Drosophila melanogaster: one gene and its partners. The protein of the gene in region 2 interacts with the protein of the main gene of each other region in a pairwise test. Each region holds a gene or a part of one and is shown on either strand. Other genes may lie near its edges.

The links. The genes of interacting proteins can lie anywhere in the genome.
Region 1: the proteins of CG10887 (region 2) and CG12674 interact in a two-hybrid assay, tested with the Drosophila melanogaster proteins (one large-scale study listed by BioGRID).
Region 3: the proteins of CG10887 (region 2) and Dip-B interact in a two-hybrid assay, tested with the Drosophila melanogaster proteins (one large-scale study listed by BioGRID).

What each region holds. Positions count from the first base shown.
Region 1 is NT_033779.5:2,078,247-2,081,809, reverse strand, and holds CG12674 (uncharacterized protein), read right to left. Parts: upstream 1,892-3,563; 5' UTR 1,734-1,891; coding exon 1,687-1,733; intron 1,603-1,686; coding exon 744-1,602; intron 679-743; coding exon 640-678; 3' UTR 524-639; downstream 1-523.
Region 2 is NT_033777.3:20,112,968-20,117,684, reverse strand, and holds CG10887 (uncharacterized protein), read right to left. Parts: upstream 2,848-4,717; 5' UTR 2,747-2,847; coding exon 2,707-2,746; intron 2,649-2,706; coding exon 2,609-2,648; intron 2,553-2,608; coding exon 602-2,552; 3' UTR 546-601; downstream 1-545.
Region 3 is NT_033777.3:13,780,738-13,786,199, reverse strand, and holds Dip-B (dipeptidase B), read right to left. Parts: upstream 3,913-5,462; 5' UTR 3,749-3,912; intron 3,561-3,748; exon of another isoform or gene 3,506-3,560; 5' UTR 3,373-3,505; coding exon 3,359-3,372; intron 2,384-3,358; coding exon 2,107-2,383; intron 2,040-2,106; coding exon 1,941-2,039; intron 1,884-1,940; coding exon 747-1,883; 3' UTR 524-746; downstream 1-523. Other genes in the region: CG9286 (uncharacterized protein), read right to left, coding at 4,133-4,776, 4,836-4,962, 5,024-5,146.

The DNA of each region.
Region 1 (3,563 bases), on a different chromosome or scaffold from region 2:
GGCATGGCATGGGGTTTCCTGCCAAATCGCTGCCACAACAAATTCCGAGCGTCTGGCCAAATGAAATAGGATTCCGCAGTGAACCACAGTGGCGGGGAAAGTAAAGTACAAATCGTGGCTCGAAGGAAACGTCATAAAAATTGTCTATTTCTCGCCGGCAAACGTATACTTGAGTACGAGTATATTCTTGCTTGTGTGGGCAGGTCCCTAGAAATGCCTTGGAATCGTCATGACAGCTCTTGCCAGGATTGCCCCAAAGATGCTGCATCACTTGACGTGGATGGAGAAGTGGAAGGGGAGGTGGTGCCGGGTGGTGGCCAGGGCGGAGTCACTTCTTCAGTTTGAGCCTGTTGCCTGGCAACTTTTGCTCGACTTTCGCAACCAACGCAGAAATCAACTGACATTTCGGATTAACTTTCGATGCTAAAATTCAATTTAAGTAGATGTTTTCAATAATTATTTTTAACGAAAGCGAACAACACTGTGGAAACCAGTTAAGACATTTATGGAGCATTCGAAATTTGTTTTTATTATTTTAATGGTCATCAGATGGAAAATTTCCACCAAGCATTTTGATATTTTTATTTTCATAACATAAGCTTCTGAAGTACATCCAATTAAATGTTCTTATATTGTTCTTTAATCGGTAGTTGTATTCATTCCCACACGCTGGACCTTCTAGAAAAGCAATGTTATATACAAACGCATTGTCATAAATTTGAGAGTGCTTTTCCGAGACTCACCAGCAGAAACTTGTTAGCCGAAACGTGTGGGCGTGGACGTTCCCGCCTTAATTTGATGTATTTGTCGACACCAACGTAAAAGATGGCGTCATTCTCCTCGCGGAGTATGTAACCCTCACCGCGCTCCAAGCTATCGTCGGCTTTTTCCTCTCTGTAGCGATGGTCGGATACGTAAACCTTTTCGGTAGAGTCCGCAATGTCCTGGACGAAACTGAAGTTGATCAGACAGCTTCCGCAGTCCCTGATTAGTCCCTGGTTGCTATTTTGGGGTGGATTATCAAAACTCATCTGGACGAAGCTATATTTCTGCAAATCCGTATCGGGAAAGACTGGCAAGACCTGCACAGGGTAGGCATTGCTACCCGGATTGGTGGGATGTCGGTAGAGGGGTTTGCCAATATCCTTGAAGCTCGCATCAATCATCGCCTTTTGTTGCTCCAGGCTGACCGGCTGCAGGTCTTTTGGGGCCTTGGGCACCGCCACAGAACGCTGTAGTCCTGGGAGAGGTGGATGCACTCGCTCCTTGGCGAACATCTTGGCGCATTCCTGAGCGCGACTTGGTTCGAGTCTGGCGAAGTCCCAGTCTAGGGCTCTTATGTCCTTAAGTAGATCAGCTTCTCTGGGATTCATTGGCTGCACATTCTCGGAAAGCTTATCGTAAGCCGACTGATCCATCAAATTAACGGAGAATAGCTCATGAAGTCCTTTGAAATTTAGCGAAAAACAAGTGTCCAGTTTGGGAATCGAAACCGGCTCCTTGCAGTACTCCTGGATATTCTGGCCACAGGGCAGAAACTTGCAATCCTTTGGATAAGTGGGCAACTCATTTGTGTAGACAATGGGACAGATGAACTGATTGCTGAGAAGTGTGTGTGTTTTTTTTTTTTTAGTTGAAATTGGGTCCTCGAGTTTGAATTGACAGGAAGAGATTCCCCATACTTACTGCGCTTCATCCCGCTTGCGCTTATTGTTCACGAACCCAGATGCCATAATGGAGGAGTTTTCTGATTTTTTCTTGGCTCTTCGTGCACTTCCCTGCTCTGCCTGCTTTCACGTTCCAAATGCTCGACAAGTTTTCCGATTTGTGCTTCGTCAGTCACTTTTCACTCTGACAGACCCGTCAGCGGCAAGTTGACAGCTCGGCGTGGAAAAACTAGGTGCCGATAGCGTCTCCTGGTGGAAGTGGATAGATTATCGCCTGTGGCTAGAGAGTGGAAAACGATGAAAACTAAACTTTAATTACATTTACACAACCGTGGAAAAATTTAAAAATATATTTCATTCATTTCATTCATCATAAACTATCGATAACTAGTTGTGCAATAGAAGCTCACTAAGGAGTTGATAAACTAAAAGGATTTCGATAGACCGAAGCGTGTCCTTAATAAGTTTTAGTTCGTCGATGTGCCCACCTCAAATTGACTGGCTCATTGACATTTACCCCCATTTACCCCCACTTGCCCCTCGTTAACCCCCACGAACATCCGCAAGATGCGGGCCACTCGGCCATAATGGACTCTGACTTGGCCACCTTAGGTTTTGGCCAGGGCTAAGCTCATTACGTGCCACGCCTCCAAATACAATTGCAAACTGTTGTTGTGGTGGCCGAAAATGGAAATTCTGCACTCGGAGAAATGGGAAAGGATTTGAGGCGATACTACAAGTATGAGTGATATTACTTCTTAAAGTTTGATTGGTATATACATATATATCATGGTAGGGATATATAATAACTGCCCCCTTCCAACTGAAATACATATGAATAATCCGGACTAATTTGCAGTGTAGATGATGGAGGGTGGCTCATGGTGTTGATAAGAGTGGTTGGAGTCCTTCTCGTGGCTCGTGCCGAAATTAATTGATGCGACAATGGCTGAGCAACGACTAACTTGGGCCTCCAACTCAATTCCGGCCGCCACATCACGAGCTCATCATCATCATGGGTTGCGAGGGGGCAGGCAAATTAAGAGGATGAGCAGGAGGTCGAGCAGTAGGTGGAGCTGCTGAGATGGGAGGTGTGGACGCCATGTGGATGCCGCATTCTGAGGGCTGTGCAATTTGGCGTGCGGAATTTCATTAGAGCCGCCGGAGCGGCGAAATCAAAATTTAATTTATGCTGACATTGAAGTGTCTGTGGGGCAATTAAATCGACAGCGGGGCGTGGCAGCCGCCTCCGCCGCCTTTGTGTTGATTAAGTACCGCCGAGCAATATTTTAGCATAATGATGTCCTGGCACGCAGGCTGGGCCTCCACCGTTTGCGTTTTTCAGTGCTCCTGCTCCTTCGGCAAGCCTTTCACTTGAGCCCCTCCAACGGGCCAAAGGATTCGGACCGCCTTTGATGGCTGATACCCTGATGGGCTGATGGTCTGATGATGGCTGCGCCTGATTAGCCGCCCGATTAGCCTTTGTGTCCCGGGATTTACGACAGCTAAGCAAATTTTTATTCGAGTTTTTGACTAATTTGTTGATGGCCTTCGTGATGAACCGACAAACATTTTGGATTGCACATAATCCAGTTAGCGAAAAGGGAGCCCAGCTAACACGCTTGCGTTTAATGGCCGGAAATATGTTACGGGCAATCCAAAAATATATAAATTGATATACTTTATCTTAACGGGGGACACTTCTCCGGGGGATTACACATTTTTAGATGCAATTTGTCTCTGCTATCAAATATATATTTTGGCAAAGAGTAGTTGCTGAAAACATCCTTAGACGACAGCGCAAACTTTACTCAATTTTTTCTTAGCTTAAAGGGGTATTCGTTGGCTAAGTAGCGAATGATGATTTTCCGCAGCTAGAGATACTTTGAAGACGGA
Region 2 (4,717 bases):
AATGAGACAAAATAATCATAGTTAACAACCAAATGTATAACTATTTTCAGGATAACGCCTTTTGCTAACAAATAAAGTACTTATTAATTTCAAATTTTTAACAAGCTAAGTATGTATGTATCTTATTTCGGCTACCTGAGATGGCGGTGACAAATATAAAGCTGGAATCAAAGAGCAAAGTCCGACTGAGCCGCTGACCAGAAAGCCACCCACTTGCCGCCCCCAAAACCCACATACGACCCACCGAGTCACGAGTCCAATCTCCCAAAAACACCAGGCAGCAATCCAATGCACCTACCATTAATTGCTTTGGGCGTTGGTATGCCGGCCAGTTTGGCAGTCGGACAATGGCATTTGGGTTAGAGTGCTCCGCGCTGCAATCACGACCCCATTGTGACCTTTAGCAATTTCTGCGCCGACTACCAATGTCTGCCTGCCTCAGCTGCCACGCCCCCTAATTAAGGCAATGGCCGTACACCCACTGTGGGCGCGAGAAATTGTTAATTAAATATCAGTTGCAGCTACTCCTGGCTCTACGCTTTGTTGCGTGCTGGCTAATGACATGTTTATTGAGATTTCGTATCTAGCGGCTATTTAATATTTAGTCGGAATCTGATCCGGAATAGACCAAACGCGTGGGCTTGCGGATAGCACCTCCGATCGGGAGATCGTCTTCGGAACTCGATTGCTTTCCTTCCTCCTGGGAATTGGGTGAGCTCCAAGAAGCATCATCGTCCATATGATCTTCGGTATCTTCCTCGCTGCGCATTGGTTCATTCGTAACCTCCAATGCAGAGCTTGTCTCGCAATCTGCACCCTCACCGTCGTCCTCTTCGAATGCCCCTGCGTTTTTGGCCACATTGTGATCGGAGCCTTGATAGTGCCTGTCACGTTTCGGAGGATGATTCTTCATAAGCGCGCGATTCTTTTCACGACCCTCCTGGCGAAGCTTGGACAATTCCTCCTTCATGCGCCGATCATGATCGTGCTCGGGATTGGAGCCCATGTTCGTTATCACCTTAACGCACCCAGACTGTGGCTTATTCGTGGCTCGATTACGCAAGGCCTGGACATGACTCTGTCCGAAATTGGAGTCCAGCATGGGACGCACAGTCAACTTATTCTGGATCAAACCCTGAGGCTGGTAGAAGCTGCCCAGGCGAACATACAAATGGTTCTGGTTAACGGTCACCGGGTGATGCATCATATCGAAAACCTCGTTGCCCACATGAAAGGTTTCGCTGCCATCGGACCAACGAACAATTTTCGCATTGGACTCCTTGGTTTTGTTTTCGTTCTCGCGCCACCTAACAGTTGCCTTTAGACGATTTATGAAATCCTCGCGTGACTGTTCGTCCTTCAAATCATTCTTAGTCATGCGATCCTGAAAGGTTTCAGGCACGTATGCCTTGGATTCCACGGGTATGAAATAAGGCATCTTCAGAAACTGCGATGGACCTTTTAGAAGTCCACAATTTTGGGTTGTTATGGTGGTCTGGAACTTAACTGCTACATCTTTTTCAAAAGGTTTGCGTTGTTCTTCTATATCAAGAACTTGCGACTCCTTATCACCATTTACCTCTCCATTCATTCCATTTCCATTTTGATTCTTTGCATTATCACCGTAATCGAAATTTAAATCGAGACTATCAGAAGAGGCATACGACAAGACATCGGATTCCTTTTCATCTGAACTATATCGCAATTGGGACAACCTTTTTTCAATGTTGTAATTTTTTCCATTTGATTCATACTCTGTATTTGAGCTGGGACCTAATGGCACAGGATTGACCCTGGGTTTTAAAATATTACCTTCGGATGATGTCGGTGGAAATGAAGAACATTGCAATGGGAGCAATTCTTTTTCCATTGTATTACTTTTATTTATTGGGGTCGATGTAGAATGTTGCTTCGAGAGTAGGTCTTGTTCCATCTCATCAATCAATCCATTTGCTACTTCATTCGAGCTTGGAAAATTGGAAATAGAAACTGTCCCAGGGGACAATATGTTGCCCTCGTTAGAGAGCTGTTGATTATTATCTTCGTCAATGATTGTATTGAAATTGTCTTTAAGTTCTATGAGGGAAGTTGATTTTCTGATGTTAGAGACTGTTTCAGAGTCGACACTTCCCTGGTCATCACTTTCTGAAAAGCTCGGAATGCCGCCAACCTGTCCCGCAGAAGTTGTGGTTTCATTTGAGATATTTGAAGAAGATTTCGGGTTGCTCCAGTTAATAGATTTCGGTTCTGGAGCACATAATAATGATGATGAAAGCGAAGATGAAGTCGAAAACGAAGACGATTCTCCTGAATCTGGTGGACTTCCGGAGCTGGATTCAGAGGTCCAGCTTGAATTGGATGTGGAAATATATGGTCGTTCGCTTTTCGATGATGTCTTGGCGTTCAGATCAGATCGAGATTCAAGAGGTCCCTGCGATTCAGGAACACTATTTGCTGTTGAGTGAAAAGAATGTGAACGGCTTTGGTGCTGCCTTCGTGCCTTAGTTTTATTTCCTTGTTGATCAACGCTGGAGAAAGAGGGATTCGGGCTCCTGGAAAAGCCATATGGGATTACTAAGTTCTGCAGAATATATGTACCTAAACCAACCTCCTATTGAATGCAGGCCAGCTTTCGGAAGATTCACCATCTAAAGTAAAAGCGTAGATAATAATTCAATTTTTATTAATATTCTATAGACTACAAACCTTTTATTACTTGATTGTCGTGCAAATTGGGGTCAGCCATTTTTAGCGTAAGGCGAAGAGTTAGTGGAACACAATTTCTTCACAAGCAGCACAGAAAAAAAACTATATGGTTTTTTACGTAATGACAGCCGAGCCAAGTGACTGATTTATCGATTGTTTGACAGAGTTGTCTGGGCAAGAGTTGTCAGCTTTTCTAACAATCAGTGTTGTTCCCCTACTGTTTTAATTGGTTTAAAACTGTTGGAATATACTATTCAACCTACAAAAATAACGTTAAACAACACTACTTTATATTTGATATGAATGGCCACACCTTTTATGCCATAAAACATATTGTAAGAGAATACCACTCTTTTTATTCCTTCTTTCCTTCTTGTACGTTTTTTGCTGTGAGTAGGTCGTGGTGCTGGTGTTGCAGTTGAAATAACTTAAAATATAAATCATAAAACTCAAACATAAACTTGACTATTTATTTATTTATTAAGAAAGGAAATATAAATTATAAATTACAACAGGTTATGGGCCCAGTCCATGCCTAATAAACAATTAAATTGTGAATTAAAGATTGTGAAAATAAATTGTGAAATAGCATTTTTTCACATTCTTGTGAAATAGCTTTTTTTTTCACATTCTTGTGAAATTATTTCCTTCTCAGAATTTGAGTGAAAAATGGACAAGGCTAAACGTAATATTAAGCCGTTTGATGGCGAGAAGTACGCGATTTGGAAATTTAGAATTAGGGCTCTTTTAGCCGAGCAAGATGTGCTTAAAGTAGTTGATGGTTTAATGCCTAACGAGGTAGATGACTCCTGGAAAAAGGCAGAGCGTTGTGCAAAAAGTACAATAATAGAGTACCTAAGCGACTCGTTTTTAAATTTCGCAACAAGCGACATTACGGCGCGTCAGATTCTTGAGAATTTGGACGCCGTTTATGAACGAAAAAGTTTGGCGTCGCAACTGGCGCTGCGAAAACGTTTGCTTTCTCTGAAGCTATCAAGTGAGATGTCACTATTAAGCCATTTTCATATTTTTGACGAACTTATAAGTGAATTGTTGGCAGCTGGTGCAAAAATAGAAGAGATGGATAAAATTTCTCATCTACTGATCACATTGCCTTCGTGTTACGATGGAATTATTACAGCGATAGAGACATTATCTGAAGAAAATTTGACATTGGCGTTTGTGAAAAATAGATTGCTGGATCAAGAAATTAAAATTAAAAATGACCACAACGATACAAGCAAGAAAGTTATGAACGCGATCGTGCACAACAATAATAACACTTATAAAAATAATTTGTTTAAAAATCGGGTAACTAAACCAAAGAAAATATTCAAGGGAAATTCAAAGTATAAAGTCAAGTGTCACCACTGTGGCAGAGAAGGCCACATTAAAAAAGATTGTTTCCATTATAAAAGAATATTAAATAATAAAAATAAAGAAAATGAAAAACAAGTTCAAACTGCAACATCACACGGCATTGCGTTTATGGTAAAAGAAGTGAATAATACTTCAGTGATGGACAACTGCGGGTTTGTCCTTGATTCTGGTGCTAGTGACCATCTTATAAATGATGAGTCGCTGTATACCGACAGTGTGGAGGTTGTGCCTCCACTTAAGATTGCAGTGGCCAAGCAAGGCGAATTTATTTATGCCACTAAGCGTGGTATTGTCCGACTACGGAATGACCATGAGATTACACTGGAGGATGTACTCTTTTGTAAGGAAGCTGCTGGTAATTTGATGTCCGTAAAGCGTCTCCAAGAGGCAGGAATGTCGATCGAATTTGACAAAAGCGGTGTAACCATTTCGAAAAATGGGTTAATGGTTGTCAAAAATTCAGGTATGTTAAACAATGTACCTGTGATCAATTTTCAAGCATATTCTATAAATGCTAAGCATAAAAATAATTTTCGTTTATGGCATGAGAGGTTTGGCCATATAAGCGATGGCAAATTATTAGAAATAAAACGAAAGAATATGTTTAGTGATCAAAGTCTTCTAAACAACT
Region 3 (5,462 bases), 6.3 Mb from region 2:
TATATTATGCAATCACAGCATGAATGAGACACTCTTGACCGAGTTTCCAAAGCCAGGCAATAACGGTACCAAGACACATGCGACAGCTGACAAGCGGGCCCCATCCACATCCCCATCCCCCAACCAAGCCAATCCACGCCAAGTTGCTGGGCCAAGCTCCCGGGAACGGGGCCCAAAGCGAAGAGCATGGCCAAGAAGCGACTAACGGGTTCTAGGCTGTGGGCCAAGCTACAAAAAAAGAAGGCGCTGCAAAGCTGAAGAGAAAAGGCTGCGAAAGGGGAAGAGCAGGAGTACGAGCCATACCGTAGATGGCCAACAAGAGCTCGAAATGCAGGGCACCCGCCAATTATGCAAACAATGCAGCTGGGAAATGCAGTAATAATAAAAAAGAAATAAAAAAGACCGAATACCCACGCGGCTTTCTTGTATACTTAACAAATATATGTAGGGTGGTTATTCTCTATAATGGGATGATATAATGTTTATATTTCCATGTTGATGAATATAATGAGATATTTGCTTTGTAAGCTTAAGGAAAAAAACAAATCATTTTCACATTTATTTGTAAACGATTACCAAATTAGTGACATACATTTATGAATACAATCTGAACTCGGTTTTGCCTTTATTAAAAAACAGTGATGCAGTTAGTAGGATAATATTGTTGGTTAGCTAAGCACGTGGGTGTATAAGTACTGTTTGTGGTGATCGTGTACACATCCTCCTGAATATTAGGTGGACATGATTTACTTCTGCAGATGGGTCTTCACCAGGGAAACAAGAGGGGCAGCTGTGGGCATCGCTGGGTGCTCACCGGCACTGCCGGCGATATCAATATGGGTGTACTTAATGGGCAGCATTGAATCCAACCCGTGTTTGTCCAGTCCAGAAGCCTTAATCATAAAGGCGGCGGGCACCTGGTGACCGCGAGGAGTCCTCACCGACGGGGCATTATTGGCCTGCACCAAATCCTCGCCAATCACCTTTCCAGCGTTAAAAGAGAAGTCACTGGGACGGAGAATGGACACTTCGAAGGGCTCTCCGAAGGCCTGTCCAGCAGCCTGCAGTCTTCTGGCGTGATCCTCCCGATGGGCCACGCTGTTATCGATGGCAATCGACTGACCCTCACCTGCCGAGATGAAGGCGTGACCAGTCAAGGTGGCAATGGTGAAAAGATGCGGATCCGGGAGATTCTGCTCCACGACCAACTCCTTCATGCGGCACAGGGCATCGGTCATGCACATGCGACCCTCGGCATCAGTATTTCCAATCCTCACATGAAGACCAGCTCGCGAGGTGATAACCTCATCGGCCACGTAGCACTCCTCGCCCACGGAATTGCGCACCATGCACAGGGCAGCCACAACATGGATATCATCCGGTTGCAGTTGACTGACCACCTGCATGAATCCAGCGACAGCAGCCGCTCCACACTTGTCGCGCGACATACCGGCCATCACACCACCGGCCTTGATGTCAGCACCACCGGTGTCATAGGTAACACCCTTGCCGACCAGCATCAGAGTTTTTCTCGCCGGCTTTGGAGGCTTGTACTCCAGGAAAATGATGCGACCACGATGACGCTCCACTGCATCAGCAGCCCGGTTTACGGCGGCAAACAGGGGATACTCCTTCTGCAACACCTGGGTGTCACTGATCACATTCACGTTGAGCTTGTCGAACAACGGCTTGATGTACTTCTCCACCTGGATGGGCGTCATGCGCTCCGGGTCCCCAACTCCGATGTCGCGGGCCACAAAGCGACCGGCCTCCAGAATGAGAGCTTCCTGGAAAATAGCTTCGGCCCTTGGATCATCGATCTGGACACTGAGCGTGGTCACACGGGGGTCCTTCAAAGTTCCTGCCTCGCGCAATTGAATGGGCTAAAAAACGTGTTTTAGCACATTGATTGAAATAAAAGTAAACATAATCCATATTACCACATAAAGCTGCTCCAGAGCTCCCAGAACGGTGCAGAGTTCGACCTCGGGGAAGCGCTTAACCTTGGGCACAAACAGCAACGGCGTGTGGAATCCAGCCTGGCAAAGAATACATATACATTTTCTTTCATAATTCACACAATATGTATAGAAAAAAAAAACCCACCTTGAGAACCTTCTCCATGGACCGCTTGGCCGCCTCCTGGTAGCTCCTCACATCGTCGTAGTCGGTGAGCTCGGAGACGGGGGCATAGACCACAGGTTGATCCACGTTGGGCACCTTAAAGCAGGATATGCTGCTGTCGAAGGACTTGTCGAATTTGCGGTGCTCCTCGAAGGTGGCCTTCAGTTCATTGGGAACCGCATTGCGATCGATGATGCACAGGCAGTCGTTGCCGGCCAGACTCATCAGCTTGTTCAGCCGGAGGGTGCATGGTAGAATTCTGGAGGGGCACACGTAGAGTAGAGTTAAAGTGCGCAACGGAATCGTTATTGGTATTCATTAAGAAACATTTCTGGGTGTCAACTAAATGTGCAATAGCGTTTAATTGAATTGAATTTTATCACGTCACATTTGCTTTATTAACTGATGCAGTCGTTCATATTGCATAACAGCCTGTTGCCTTTGTATTTCAATTTATTATTTCAAAAGAAAATGTCCCCACTGTATTAGGAGCAACCATGGCCATGTTTCAGTGTGTTCCCCTTTCGTTTACCCTCATTCCTGGCGCTGGGCTTATCTTAACTCGAAGTGCTATAAAGAATCGCGATAAGCTTTCGAAATGACCATAATCACAAACCGATTTCCAATTTAGAAACAAGTGTACCAAGTATTAGCACAAATGGTGTTAAAGTACTTATTTAGAATATTTGTAATCTTATTCAAGTGTTTCTACTAAATACCAATCCTTAGGTAACTGGGTCTATAATATTTTGGAGAATAATCCTATGTCGCTGACCATTTAATTGTGTTATCTTTTGAAGTGCCCCATATCAAACAATAAAAGTTGATCTATATATATCTGTTTCCAGAAGTAGCAAGAACTCGTTATCTAAGTAATAATGATAAAATTAAGTGACCTCCCCCCTTTAACTTTTATACAGTATTTCGCCAAACATTGTTTTTATTTTGGGAAAAGATAAAGTTTGGAATTTTCATGACATCTATTCCTTGCCGGCAACTAATTAAAACTGATAAACGCTGAGATATGCAGTACTAAAAACATTCTAATTTCGTTTTGGAATTATGGGAAAGGTAAATAAGATAGCAATTGATGGATGCTAAGCGACTAACCCTCACTGTAAAAGATGGCGAATCTTTGAGAGCTTTTCCAATCGGTCGCTAAGCGGTGGCTAGATAACTGATCCGCGCTAACTTAAAACACACCCTCTAATAACTGTTGGTAATAAATACTCACTTTTCGATACCCATGATGAGTACTTTTTCGCAGGCAGCTCACGCGACTTGGTTGATCGGCAAGTGGGGCGTCACTGAACCTCCCTGATGGGAACAAAGCGCTGCAGCTGGAAACTGGAAACTTGGGAGCGGGATCTGGAACGGAAAGCTGGCGATAAGGAGCGATTGTGATAGCTCTCCGCGACGATTTGCAATGTTCTGGCTGGGTGGCCAAGCTTTTTATACATTTTACTAGCGAGCCGGGCTTTAGGTTTTTTTTTTTTAATTGCTACTTGCGTTTTCGAATGAAAACAAATCGCACGAGCGATGAATAATCGCCAGTATGCTCGCTATGTACGTAATTCTAGAACTCGGATATAACTTGTAAACAATAAAGGCAAAGTCTACTCACGTCGCTCGGTCTTCGGAATTGTTATTGTGGGTTCCTCTTGCCAGTCACGTCCACGGTGGATGCAGTTTCTGGGCCAAAACTAACCAGTGGCAAAAAACAAAGGAATGGCAACCAGGTTTTTTTTTCACAGTAGACCAGCCGGCATGTGCGAAGCTTTCAAATGCCGGCCAAGTGACAGCTGTTTGTGGTTTGCCCGCGTTGCCAATTGTCATAAAGGATGTGGAAAGCTTTCGGTTCGAATTTTTGATACTCTTTGTATGGGACTACAAAGAAATAGAAGCTTATCGGTCGTTAGAGACCGGACATTATTACTTCTTAATTAGATATTTGTCGGGGTGTTATATTAAGGCCAAATAACACAGCAGTTTTAAATGTAAAAAATATTTATTCGCCATTAATAAAGCGTTGTATATCGTCAATAAGCTGCGGAAGTTTTTTGGCCTCCAGGACCAGGAGTTTCCTGTAGGGCGTCATCACGGCATCGCCTTCCAGCCAATCGCCAGACATGCCCGAATCGGTTTCAGAGGCCATGGAATACTCGAAGGAGAACTTAGCCCGATCCGAAAGCAACTCATCCTCAGCGTTGGTGTACACGTCCTCGCCCGGTTTGCCCTTCTTCGACTCTTTCCTGTAGAACTTAACCAGCAGCAGCAGAGTGCCAAAGTCGTATTTCATTTTCTTGGCCTTGGCGGCTTCGATTTCTTGCTGCAAACTCTGCAGCAGTGGCACGGAGATCTGGGCAGGGATATTGATAAAGCGCTCGTTGATCAAGAATCCCACATGGCGCTGCTCGCTGTCTAGAATCTCCTTCAACTGCTGCTGAACCTCCGGAGAAGCGTGCGTCTTGGCGCGATCCAGTATGTAGGTCCTTAACTGGGCGATGCTGGGCTGATCCTTTTTGGCGGTCAGGTTCAGCACAGAGGTGATTCCAAAGATGGTGCCATCCTCGACCATGTTGTCGTCCTCCGTTTCGCTTTCGGTGCCCTCGTCGTCGCACTGGCAGATCACACTGCCTATAAAATTTTGGGCTGGAAACAAAAAAAGTTGTGCTGATAGATAGATCAAGATAGTACCTTGGAGTGCTCACCTATGATCAAATCCGCCATTTGGTTGCAGTTGATGTGGGCACGAAGGAATAGTCGCTGCAGGAGTTGAGAGATTCCCTGGGCATCGGGATCTACTGGAGCTCGTCCCTCAAAGTCGATTTGCACCTCCTAGCCGGATATTAATTTTGAAACACATTTGCTTTTCATATTTTGGAGGCACTTAGATTACCTCGTTTCCCTTATAGGCATCTGGATGCGGTTCGTCGTCGTCATCATCCTCGCTGGAACTGGAGACATCCTCGTTGGGGTCCACCTCCATGGTACTCAATTTCTTTTGCTTATTAGCTGACATTTTTAAGATTTAGTTAACGAATTTGGTTTTGTTTCGCTTCCACTAAATTGCCGCCCGAACAGCTGTTTATCGTCCACACGTGTTGCATTGAGTTGCCAACTATTACGGAGCGTGCTGTTAAGTGGGCAGAGTTCTGTAAATGCACCGGAGTTAACAGGCTGTTAAGAAATAAAATTTACTGGAAATTAAATAGTAGACCCGACATTACATTTGACCATAAGTATTAACAAAATTCACAAGTTTCAGAAAATATTATTTGTGGTTTACTGTCAAAATTATTATTATTTAAGTCCTCATTGACTTTGAGCAATATAAT